Linked DNA regions of Xenopus tropicalis. The protein of the gene in region 1 interacts with the protein of each later gene in a pairwise test. Links are inferred from orthologs where the notes say so. Each region holds a gene or a part of one and is shown in the gene's direction. Other genes may lie near its edges.

Region 1 (3,759 bases):
ACTGGGGTATTTTTGGAGGCACATATCTTCCCTGCCAAAAGACTGTGGTTGTCTCAGGCTAGTAGAGAAGCCCAAATCTCTGCTATTGCGGGGACTAACTGCTCCGAAATGCCTTTTCACTGGCAACTAACTCGCTCCATGGGTCCTTAGCCTAAAGGTTCATACCTTTATTACTCCCCCTGATGGTAGCCCTGACATTTCCACTTCTTCATTTACTGATGCACCATACACCATGGTGCATCAGCTGCTTTGTTTTTTAAACCTACCCATCCATAACTGGGCCACCATCTGCGCACACTGAAAATCATTTCATATATGGTTTTATCAGTATGTATATGGTCAGCTTTGCTGGTGTCAGTTACAGTACTTTATGTGGAGGCTTGCCATATTAAGTGGCATTGCTAGTTTTATGGTAGCGTAGATGTTTCGCTTTAACCTACCTCCCCAGCTTTCCAGGGGCAAAAGATAGATACAATCACACAGGACATATTACAGCAGTTGTTTTAGATATTTACATCAGAGATTTCCAAAAAGCTCATTGGAGAATTTCAAATATATAGACTGTAAGCTCTACGGGGCAGGGACCTCCATCCTCTTGTGTCTTTGACTCTTAACTTATTGCAACTGTATTTATCTTGTATTTATTGTTATACTTTGTATTTATCGATTATCTTAATAACCCCAGTTTGTATTAATGTATTCTACTGTACAGCGCTGCGTACATAAGTAGCGCTTTATAAATAAAGATATACATACATACATACATACATACAAATATTTACTTTAGTGCTACTGTTTATTTATGTTGTAAACTGAACGCTTTTTTCTTTACATACCTACTCCATTAGTGGTATGTAGTGTGACCAACTGCACTGGCTGCTTATACTCTAGCACCAACCGACAGAGAGTCATTTTCACAATATTTTTGTACACTCGCTATTGCGTATAGCGGGGAGGGCATTTCCCGGACACAATAATATGTTATACATTGTATTTATCTATTAACTTAACCCCCTGTTTGTATTAATATATTCTACTGTACAGTGCTACGTACATAAGTAGTGCTTTGTAAATAAAGATATACCTACATACAAACAATAAGGCCCTGTTTCTGTGCAGAGCAGGTTATAATGGGTTAACATAACCCTAAATACTCAGAACAACCCACTTGAACCGGAAACAATGACTTGCACAACTAGGCGTATGTATTAAAAGATGATTTATATAATTGTTATATAGCACGTTGGAAACGAAAACTAAATCGCCTTGGGGGATTTTTGATCCAGTGCTTATAGGGTTACCCGTGCCACAAGCCCTACTTTCCCCTCAGCTTCCCTCCACTAGATGGCAGAGAGATGAATCGCTGATGCAGGCCTGTTGCAAGTGGTGCTGATTTGCCCGGCTCGTCTGCCACACAATCTATTTGCTGCGTGTGACAAGCGGCTGTGCAATGTGTCACGGTTAGAGCACAGCTGAGAGCTATTCCCGGCATTGCACAGGGGCTACCCCGCTCACTCCAAGGGAGAGGGACCTGCAGCAAACGGGGTAAGTTTCCTTAGCATCCTACACTACATGTCTGTTAGTAAATAGGGTACATCGTTCTGTGTAATTATTACTCAGCAAATGACATTAGATGCCAGCGCTGGGCGCAGGGCATTATGGGAATATTTCCTTGTCAAGTTGTTGTTGTTTCCCTCCTGGCTTCCTTGCTTTATATTTCTATTCACTCTCATGTAGTTCCTAGGTAACTGCTCTATAATATACAGGTCCTTCTGATGTGTTAATATTAAATAAGTCCTGGGTGATGCCTATTGATATATGTATTGTACTAATAAAAGGAGCAATGGAATAAAGTAGCCTTTGTGGTAAGCGGAATGGAGTTAGAGGGCAAAGTAATTCTGTATCATGGCACTGCTGTTGCCATAGTTATTATACACAAGCTGCTAAATGAACTGCAGTGCTTTGCTCTAAGGAGCTCTGGGTAATATGTGGTAGCTGCTGTGTTTGTATATAACTAAACCCCATATTCTAGTCCTTGTGTTGTGCCTGTCACTCTCTAGAGATGCTGCTGGCCAGTAAATTACTGCTAATTACTGTGTCCTGTTTCCCATTAGGCTTCCTGCCAGGTGTCGGATTTACAGACACTGCGATTTTATGTCCCAGAATAGTGAAGAGGTTATTACTGTATATTTGAAAGTTACTTAGTACATTTTGTTTCATTATGGAAGATTCGTATATTTGGGTTCACATTTCCTTTAAAACACAAGCTCCAACACGTGCTCAGACGCAGCAATTTCGGCCACACTCACTAAAACCTATTACCAATATGCTGTTATCCTGTGCAGAGAACTGAGCCCAAGCCTTGCTACTGACGTGAGATTGCCTCAACCTTTAGTTCCTGTGGAGATCCCATTCAACAAATAGAATGGAACTGGATTTATAGAGCTGCTTTTTTCTGGGGATACAAAGTACATCTCCAAAGTTATGGCAGCTCTGTTTGGGTGCAATAACTGGAGCAGCAAGGTCACAAGGATCTAATGCTGGGATACATGAATAGGTCTCCATCTTGAGATCAGATGTCACTGTCCTTGATCTCATGAACCAAAGAGCCAGCTACATATAGAAAAAAACTATGTAATGATATAAAGCAAAAAAATAAGGAAAAAATTAATATACAAGGCATGCAAAGCTAGTATGGATTAGGGATACAATACACATATACAATTGCTTATTGGTAGGAGGCAATAAGGGAAGGGCCATTCCTGTGTGAGCTTACAGTCTAAGAATATTTCCCATTTTTTGTAAATGATAAAAGACAAAAAACTGTAGTGAATCTGTAGTGAATAGCCTTATTATTATTTATATTTTTTATTATTATTATTACTACCCGGTCCCTGCCCCAGTTGAGCTTACAGTCTAAGTTCCTATCAATGATATCAGTAGCCAGTTCATATTTTTGGAGTGTGAAAGGAAACTGGGGTACCTGGAGGAAATAACACAAGCATGGAAAGAACATACAGATCCCATGTGATAGAGCCCTTCATTCATTCCAGTAAAGGAGTGAGAATGAGTGTTACAGTTACCCATTGCTTATTTTTCTTTTTTATTTCTTAAACTCCAGGCACTCTGAGGCTGATATATATCATACTGAGGTCATTGTCTCTCCTTGCATTGACTTGCATTGCACATTTCTAGACACAGAAGCTGTGTAAAGATAAACCATGCTTTCTTTGCATAGCTTAAATAAGATATATGATTCAAAATTAAAACAATAGCCTGAGCCATATTAACCCTATTTATTAGTTGTACTTTTGGCTCTCTTACATATTTCCCCTTCATATAAAATACACTTTACACCACAACTTGTTTGCTTTGCAGTGGCCTGAGCCAAATATGGGTAACACAGCAAGTGATCGCTTATCTGGAGATCGGCATGGCAAGTCCCACCGTGCAGATGGAGCAACTGGGGGACACTCTACTAAGGAGCATGAGGAAAACAAAATCATGGTTGGAAGCACAGACGACCCAAATATCTTTAGTACTCAAGAATCTAAGGTATTCCAATGAACTGAAAAGCTATATGAGACTGGAGTGGGAATGTGATCTTTTAATGCCATAGGGGTCATTTACTATGACCCGAATGCTAGTGTTAGAAGGGATGCAAAAATACATTCCATAGTGCTTCTTCTAAAGAGTTTATTATATGTGGACCTCCTGCTGTTGAACTACATTTCTGAGAAATCCCTTGACACAAAAGGT
Region 2 (3,759 bases), on another chromosome or scaffold:
GCTACTTTTGGTGACCAGATGAGAGAAACAAAAATAGGGTGAAACCTGAAAACTTGTGTGAGTTGACATGTCTGTACAGAAAAAGAAAAACTGCCATGCACACCCCTTGTTTGTGGTACCTCACGCAGCAGCAGCACAGGTCACACATTAGAAAAGCTAACCTGAAGGCAGTTCTGCGAAGAATAGATCCGTACCTTACCTAGCGCAGACGTACCTATGGTCAGGGGACAGGCATGCACACGGGCCACCCTTGGGGGTGCATATGGGCACAAATATATCAAAATTTCTCTAAAGAAAAAATATATAGTGTAAAAGGGACATTCCATAATCCTGCATGTAATGCTTTAACTGATTGTGCCTAATGTGCCTTTGGTTGAAATATATTACAGAACCAGTGTACACTAGGTGCCTGTCTTTGTGAATCCCCCACACCATTAATGTAAAAAAAATCAAATACATGTATGTTTATTTGGCTATTTTATACTAAAACCTTTAAAAAGAAAAGCTACAGGGTATGGTATAAAAGTATGGACTGGACTAATCTGGCAGATGAGGGATGTTTAAGGGCCAGGTCTGTGTGGATAAAACTTACAGAGTAGTTATATGTTTTCCTGGAGGTTTCTTTCTGAATCATTTCTTTTCCAATAAAGAAATTCTAAGTATTATCTGCTTCTCATTTAGATGGAAACACCTCCTGCTTACTCACATGGTGCATGTGCTCACCCTGCTTCCTCTTCTGACACTTCACCTCCCACTGAGCAGCACAACAGCAGCAGCAGCCGCCTGTCTATTGCTCGCTGTGAGTGAAGAGGAAGTAGGCTGTGTGAGTGCCACAGCATGGGCATGGCTTGAGGCTTGAAGGCAATCAGCTTGAAAAGTTTCCCAGCTCTGTAATACAGAATTAAGGAGCTACAAAGCAAGAGTTCACCTATACCCAGCAGTTGGTTAAAGGTAAGTGCATGCATTGTTGCTTTAGGTGCATTTTCCTGTGGGGCCAGCTCCTTAGACACTGTTAAGAACTGGTTATCTGATGGACAATTTGCACAGGGCAGGTTGACAGTATATAACATGATAACCGAGACTGGCTGATATAAAGGATAATCAAACACATGACTTTCAGAGTGACAGAAAGTTTAACAGACAGGTCAGTGGGGAGACTTGAAGTTTCTGCGCCCCATAACAAAGTCATTTGCCACTTTGGCAATAATGTATTTTTTATAAAAATATACTGAGACTGAGTTTATCAATCTATGCCCCTCTGGGCGCCCATATTTCCTGGGTTCCCCAACAGTCACAGCATTTGCTTTCTCTATAGTTACACCCCTGAATGAATAAGTGATGCCGTAGCAATAATGTGCTGCATAATCGTATAGAAAGTCCATTACTACAAATTGAAGCAGAAACAATCAGCCCGTCCGGGCTTTATATAGCTGCTTTGTATGAATAGAATTTTCAGTTCATTTTGTTGGCCAGGAGTTGTTCGCAGCTGAACCTGATTGGGAAAATAAGGTGTGTGCTGAACTGGGGCAGACTGCTGGAGATGGGCCAATTACCCTGTAAACTTGTGTCGTTATGATGATTAGAGAAACATTGTGCTTCTTTTTGTGAAAGTGTGTCTTTGTGCTGTTAAGGTTGTACATTGTACCATCAGTGTGGAAGCCAAGCATCCTTTTTGGTTATAAGACCCCCTGTGTTTCCTTTTGGCAATAATAATATGTTTCTAGTCCTCAGTTGCCCCCTCTTTTCAGCCCTTTTTGTACTACAGTAATCTGTCACAAGGTTGTGGGAAATTGTGTAGTTCAAATATAGCAGCAGTTTGGGCACTGTGGGAGTTGTAGTACAGTACTTGCTTGTGCAGGTGCAGCAAACTCCTTTTTTATACACCAGTGAGGGTATTTTCAAGCTCTTGTAAGGAAGATGATTTAATTTGTGGCCTGCGAGCTACAGACAGGTTTGTGGCCGAGACTGCGCATAAATGGTGAGAGGATGATTCTGAGTGTAGGAGATCAGAAATGTGCAGGTTAAATAGAAAGGAGCTTAAAGAGGTTGTAAACTTTCTCACTGTGTCCCTTACTTCTCTTAAGTACATGACTAATTACTGATGCAAGAGAATTTACCAATGAGATTGCTGTTTGTCAGCATTATGTCATTTTGTTATGTTATCACACTGTAGCATCACAAGGGAGGATGCTCTTCTGTGTAGTTCTGCCATAGAAAAGGTTTGTTTAAAGCTTCCAATTACAGTGACAAAACAAACAACATGGAGACTAATCAAAGGGATTCTTATTGGAGGATTACTTTGCATATTAATTTGGGTCACTGGTCCTAGAAAGCTGGGTAGATTTTTATTGTGAACTAGCATACACACCCTGAAGTTGCTGGACTACAGCTCCCACTATACTTAAACCATTTGTAAAATGTTTTTTTGCTTTGTAGTCTAGCACATTTTGGGTAAACTGGCCTTTAAGGAGGTTATACCTGACACCCTGGCCAAACACTCATATTTAGCCTTGTATGAAGAGATTTAAACTTAGTAAGCAATTAGGGCAGACAGGCTGAGAATGCAGCTTCAGAATATTCTTTATGCTGCAAGCAGAGACCTGTAATAAAATGACATCACAGAATCTTCTCTGGCATCTGTTAGCTTCTGTCCCACCATCTAAGAGTGACAATCCAGCTATCTGATTTATACCATAGGAAGCTATGTAAAATGCATATGGAATATTCTGCAGGTTTAAATAAATATGGTTAGCTCCATTCAGCACAACCTCTATAGCGATCACAAGCTTAGATGAAGTGACAAACTGACTTTCATGCCCATGTATTTATGTAGAGAAAAAGACTGTTTTATCATAAAGGAAGGCAGAATCATTGATGCTGGAGAGCTTGTGCAACTTGGATATTATTTAAGGAATTTATAACCATCATCAAAGGAACCCTGTTGCATTGTGTTTACTGACATATCCTCAACTGATAACACACACATCTTTTGATGTGGTTCCCTTTTGGTTCCTGCATTTTCTTAAAGTGGACCTGTCACCCAGACATAAAAAGCTGTATAATAAAAGTCCTTTTCAAATTAAACATGAAACCCAAATTCATTTTTATATTAACACATCCAAACCCATTATAGAGGCATTTAAAAATCCCAGATGTCAATCATATATTGCTTGCCCCGCCTTTATGCCTTAGGCATAGAGGCGGGGCAGACAATAACTTTAGCTTTTCGTTCAGCACTACCTAGATGTCACTGCACATCTCACTTTTCCCCTCCCTCCTCATCATCTAATTGTGTAGCCAGTGCAAGGGCCTGGGCATCAGGTCCCCCATTCTGGCATATAAACAAGATTTTGGCATGATACCAAGCTTGCCTTAATAACAGTGTCCACAAAATGGTGCCTGCCTGCTTGCTTTGATTGAGTAATTCCAAGACGGAAAGAAACAAGATTGATATTATTTATATAGAGTAAGTAAAGTTCATTTTGCTCAACTAACAATATAGAAAATAATTTGGAGTTATTTCTTAGGGTGACAGGTCCCCTTTAAGCACTCTGGACTGAGGAAGGATAAATGTTATGATAGGCTGGAGGATCACCATAAATAAGAACTTCAGCTTATTACAAACTTGCATAATGCCCAGCCCAACACTCTCTAGGAAATGAATCGACCAGCTGCTCAGAGAGTGAATAATAGCAGGCTTCTAGCAGTGTTGGTACACTTAGGCTGTGGTGCTCTGTACTATATTCAGGTGAACAGAAA
Region 3 (3,759 bases), on another chromosome or scaffold:
CCCATGAAATTTGGGGTGTAAAATTGGGGCTGTTCTGTATAATATAGAACATATAATAAATAGGAGATTTCTTATAGCACAAACACATCAAAATTACTATGCTCCTACGGTACAGTTTCCACCAATGCAATAGAAATCAGTAGCCATAGACAGACTGACTTACAGTAAGAGATGTTGGATAGGCGAATTGATTGGCCCATGGGTCAAATAGTTGAATATTGTGTGATTCGACCTTTACAAATGATGATGTCCTAAATGATTACTGAATGATCATCTGTACAAGATAGGAGTTTTCCTGTAAACCTTCTAGCTAGAGAACAATTGATCGTATTACTATTTGCCAAGAATATGACAATACAGGTATGGGACCCATTATCCAGAATGCTTGGGACCTGGGTTTTTCCGGATAAGGGGTCTTTCCATAATTCAGATTCATAGTAATTAAACCCAATAGGATTGTTTTGCCTCCAATAAGGATTAATTATATCTTAGCTGGGATCAAGTACAAGGTTCTGCCTTATTATTACAGAGAAAAAGGAAATCATTTAATAAAAATGTAAGATGGAGAGTTCATGTGACATTAGATTGCAAGCTCCACTGGAATAGGGAGTGAATGACTGTGCTACTTTAACAAATTAGAATAGTAATTGTCAGTTCATTAGTTCAGAAATTCCTATATAACATAGCAACTAAAGGGTTGTTCATTACTATCAGTAATTATATTATAAAATCAAACATTAGTTTTGTACATAACATTTTTTGTACATAAAGCCCCCAGAGCAGAGAGTGGAGGCAAATGTATTTATTTTCTCTTAAGACTATCAAACATTTTCAGTATAATGTTTGGGACTTTGGCATTACTTTTTACACCTGCAATCAAGGTTTTGTTTAATGTAATAGATTTTAATGCTTTTATACTGTGCATAATAGACTAAAACAGTAGCTGAATGTGGTTGGGTAGTTGTTAGTGGATGTGGGAAAGTTTACATTAAGGCTCCGGTCAAAAAGGAAGCACTGAAAGTAGCAACAAGGTGATGGAACTGGGATGTCCAGCCTTTCATTTGAATGCAAATGTATCTGGGGGGCAGGCAGTTATCTCTGACATCAGACTGGGCTTTAGTAAGCTGTGACTGCAGGCACCTGGCCACAGCATTGTTAGTCATGTGTAGCATCAAGGCACCGGCCTAACAGAGGTCATTTGTATCGCAACTCTCATATTGAACTACTGGGCACCATAGTTGCAGAAGTATTCTTAACAGGGTTGAGGATAAAGATGACCACCAAGGATCTCGCCTAGGAATGAACATCACATGTGGGAGACAGGCTATGCACAAGGACGTTACCATGTATCCACTTTCTGTAAGATCCGCCAGCAATAACCACTCAGCGCAGAATTACGCCTCTAACCAACCTTATTTCAACTATGTTACATATCATCATGTTCCACCTATGGATGAACAAGGGCAGCCCTGTGGAGTTTGGGGACCTCAGTATGGCTCACCAAGGGAGCAATGGAACTCTTATGGAGCTGGACCTTCCAACACAAATATGGCACAATCATCTGACTTATCACCTAACCAATTTGCCTATAATTCTTCTGGCTATAGCTCCCCGCATCCATCCGGCACTGGGATTTTACACTCTGTAGATTTGTCTCACACAGCTGCCAACTCACCCAGCGATCTTAGCCAGAATTCTTATGAATGGATGGGGAAAACCGTGCAATCGACTTCTACAGGTAAGAAAAATTGTACAAAGGGAATCATTGCTCAACTGATTAAAAATAGCTTAAAATCTTGACCTTTGGCATAATTATACCCAAAATGGAGCTACAAGTTGCCACTTGAAAAATAAAAATTTGCATGTGTTTTTCCACGTTATATATATTAGGCACACCCTTTAAATGTTTAGGCCACGTGGAAACACTTCTTCTCGTAAATAAATATATTCTTCTTTTTTCCCCCTAAATTTTATTTTTGTTTAGGAAATAATTGTGCTTTTTTTAAGCAACATAACCAAATTAATAATCCTGGTATTATAATGTTTATATCCCTTCTACGATTGCCCATAGAAAGCAACAGTAAACATGAGCAAAATTCCCTTGTTAAAACACTGTAGGAAAAAGACATAGTAGGCTCTTTTTACACAGAGAGATTATAAATTACTACTTGTAGCTGGCAAGAAATAGAGTTTATTGATTCCAATGTGGCAAGTACAATATTATGGCACTAGTAAGAAACAATGAAACCTATCAACAACTAGCAGCAGTCACATTTCTTTTTTGACATAAGCCAAAGCAAGTTAGGGTGCTTTTTAACATTAGATAGTGTAGCCGAGTACATTAACGGCTATCTCCTATTGTTATTAGTAACATTAATAAAACACTGCAATTCTTGTTAAAAAAGAGTTACAACAAATGTGCCTGTCTTGATCAACAGGGAACATCACTATTTCCCTGCAGAATATTATTACAAAGAAACCACACTGCTTTCATATTATACATACCTGTATTTAGTATTCTAAATAAACTTTACATTGAACAGTGAGTGAAGACAAGTATTTAACTACATATATATATATATATGAAGCTGAATAGAAAAACTGACTACTATAGTATAGCTCTAGGAATGCATATTTTTGGTTATAAAATTGTCAACTGACCATTTTAGTGGAATATGGTCAAGCTGTGCATCCTGTCAAAAGGCCTGATGTATGCCCATATAAATATGTGATGAGTGCCAGTGAGGGTCTAAATGCATGGTGTGTTTCATTATTAAATAAGGGTAATGGCTCACAAGCCTTTTGGCTCAGTGAGTGTTTTTTTCTGGGGAAAACTGAGACAACACTTTAAGAATTATCCCAGATTGCTTCATAATAGAGATACTAAAAATCACTTTTCTTATTGCAACTATAGACATGCAATCTGAGGCAGTTCCTGGTGTGTTGCTTTGTTTTAAACACAGACAAAATGCTACATATTCCACTGGCCCTAAAAATTAATGTGAAGGGGTGTTTTATTTTAGTCTTTGTGTGTGGATTTAGTCAAATTTATTGTACACAGCCTGTATGTACATGTAGTTATGCGTATATAATTATATATTAACAATTAGGATAGGGCTTTTTAATGTTCAACAGTGAGGGTCTCTGGCTACTGCTTTAATCTCATATATTATGAAAACAAAATTGAATATGCCCCTTCTTAGTGGGTAAATGGGGCATCCTGAGATGTGACAGTGAGATGAACTAGCTTCACTGCTTTTTAGGCTAATGGGCATAATATCTGACTGTTGGCTGTGGGCTAAACTGTTGTTTAGAAAGGTAGGACTACGTACAGCTTCCTTAATAATTTGTTATATGATTCTTTATAGGGTTAGGTTTACCTTTTTACATTAAAGCAGAAAGGCAACCAGAAGAAAATATATGTAAGTAAAATACCTAAATTCCCTCTGATGTATGTAACAGGCCACTGAGTATAAATTCCCTAACAAAATGATCAGGAATATCCCGCCTGAGCATATCAAGCTGATGTTAGACAGCAATGCCCAGCCTTGGGCATTTATGGACAGAAATAAATATATATATATATATATATATATACACATACAAACTGGACTTTTTCATCGAGAAATACAAAATAATTTAGGAAGTGACATATTGAATAACGAATGGGAACCTCTGCTGAATAATTTGGTTATTTTGGAAGAGCAGGCAGTTTTACCAGAGAAGTCCTATGCAAGTGAAGAGTGGCATCTGTCTGTT

Evidence for each region.
Region 2: the proteins of prkab2 (region 1) and stx11 interact in binary tests that used the Homo sapiens proteins (3 or more experiments, as listed by UniProt). The link is inferred for Xenopus tropicalis from reciprocal best matches to the Homo sapiens genes PRKAB2 and STX11.
Region 3: the proteins of prkab2 (region 1) and cdx4 interact in binary tests that used the Homo sapiens proteins (3 or more experiments, as listed by UniProt). The link is inferred for Xenopus tropicalis from reciprocal best matches to the Homo sapiens genes PRKAB2 and CDX4.

What each region holds. Positions count from the first base shown.
Region 1 is NC_030680.2:118,092,688-118,096,446, forward strand, and holds the start of prkab2 (5'-AMP-activated protein kinase subunit beta-2), read left to right. Parts: upstream 1-1,440; 5' UTR 1,441-1,545; intron 1,546-3,378; 5' UTR 3,379-3,393; coding exon 3,394-3,555; intron 3,556-3,759. UniProt on the Homo sapiens protein: Non-catalytic subunit of AMP-activated protein kinase (AMPK), an energy sensor protein kinase that plays a key role in regulating cellular energy metabolism.
Region 2 is NC_030681.2:45,305,684-45,309,442, forward strand, and holds the start of stx11 (syntaxin-11), read left to right. Parts: upstream 1-1,454; 5' UTR 1,455-1,509; intron 1,510-1,650; exon of another isoform or gene 1,651-1,675; intron 1,676-1,953; exon of another isoform or gene 1,954-1,978; intron 1,979-3,759. UniProt on the Homo sapiens protein: SNARE that acts to regulate protein transport between late endosomes and the trans-Golgi network.
Region 3 is NC_030684.2:47,047,548-47,051,306, forward strand, and holds the start of cdx4 (homeobox protein CDX-4), read left to right. Parts: upstream 1-1,165; 5' UTR 1,166-1,299; coding exon 1,300-1,738; intron 1,739-3,759.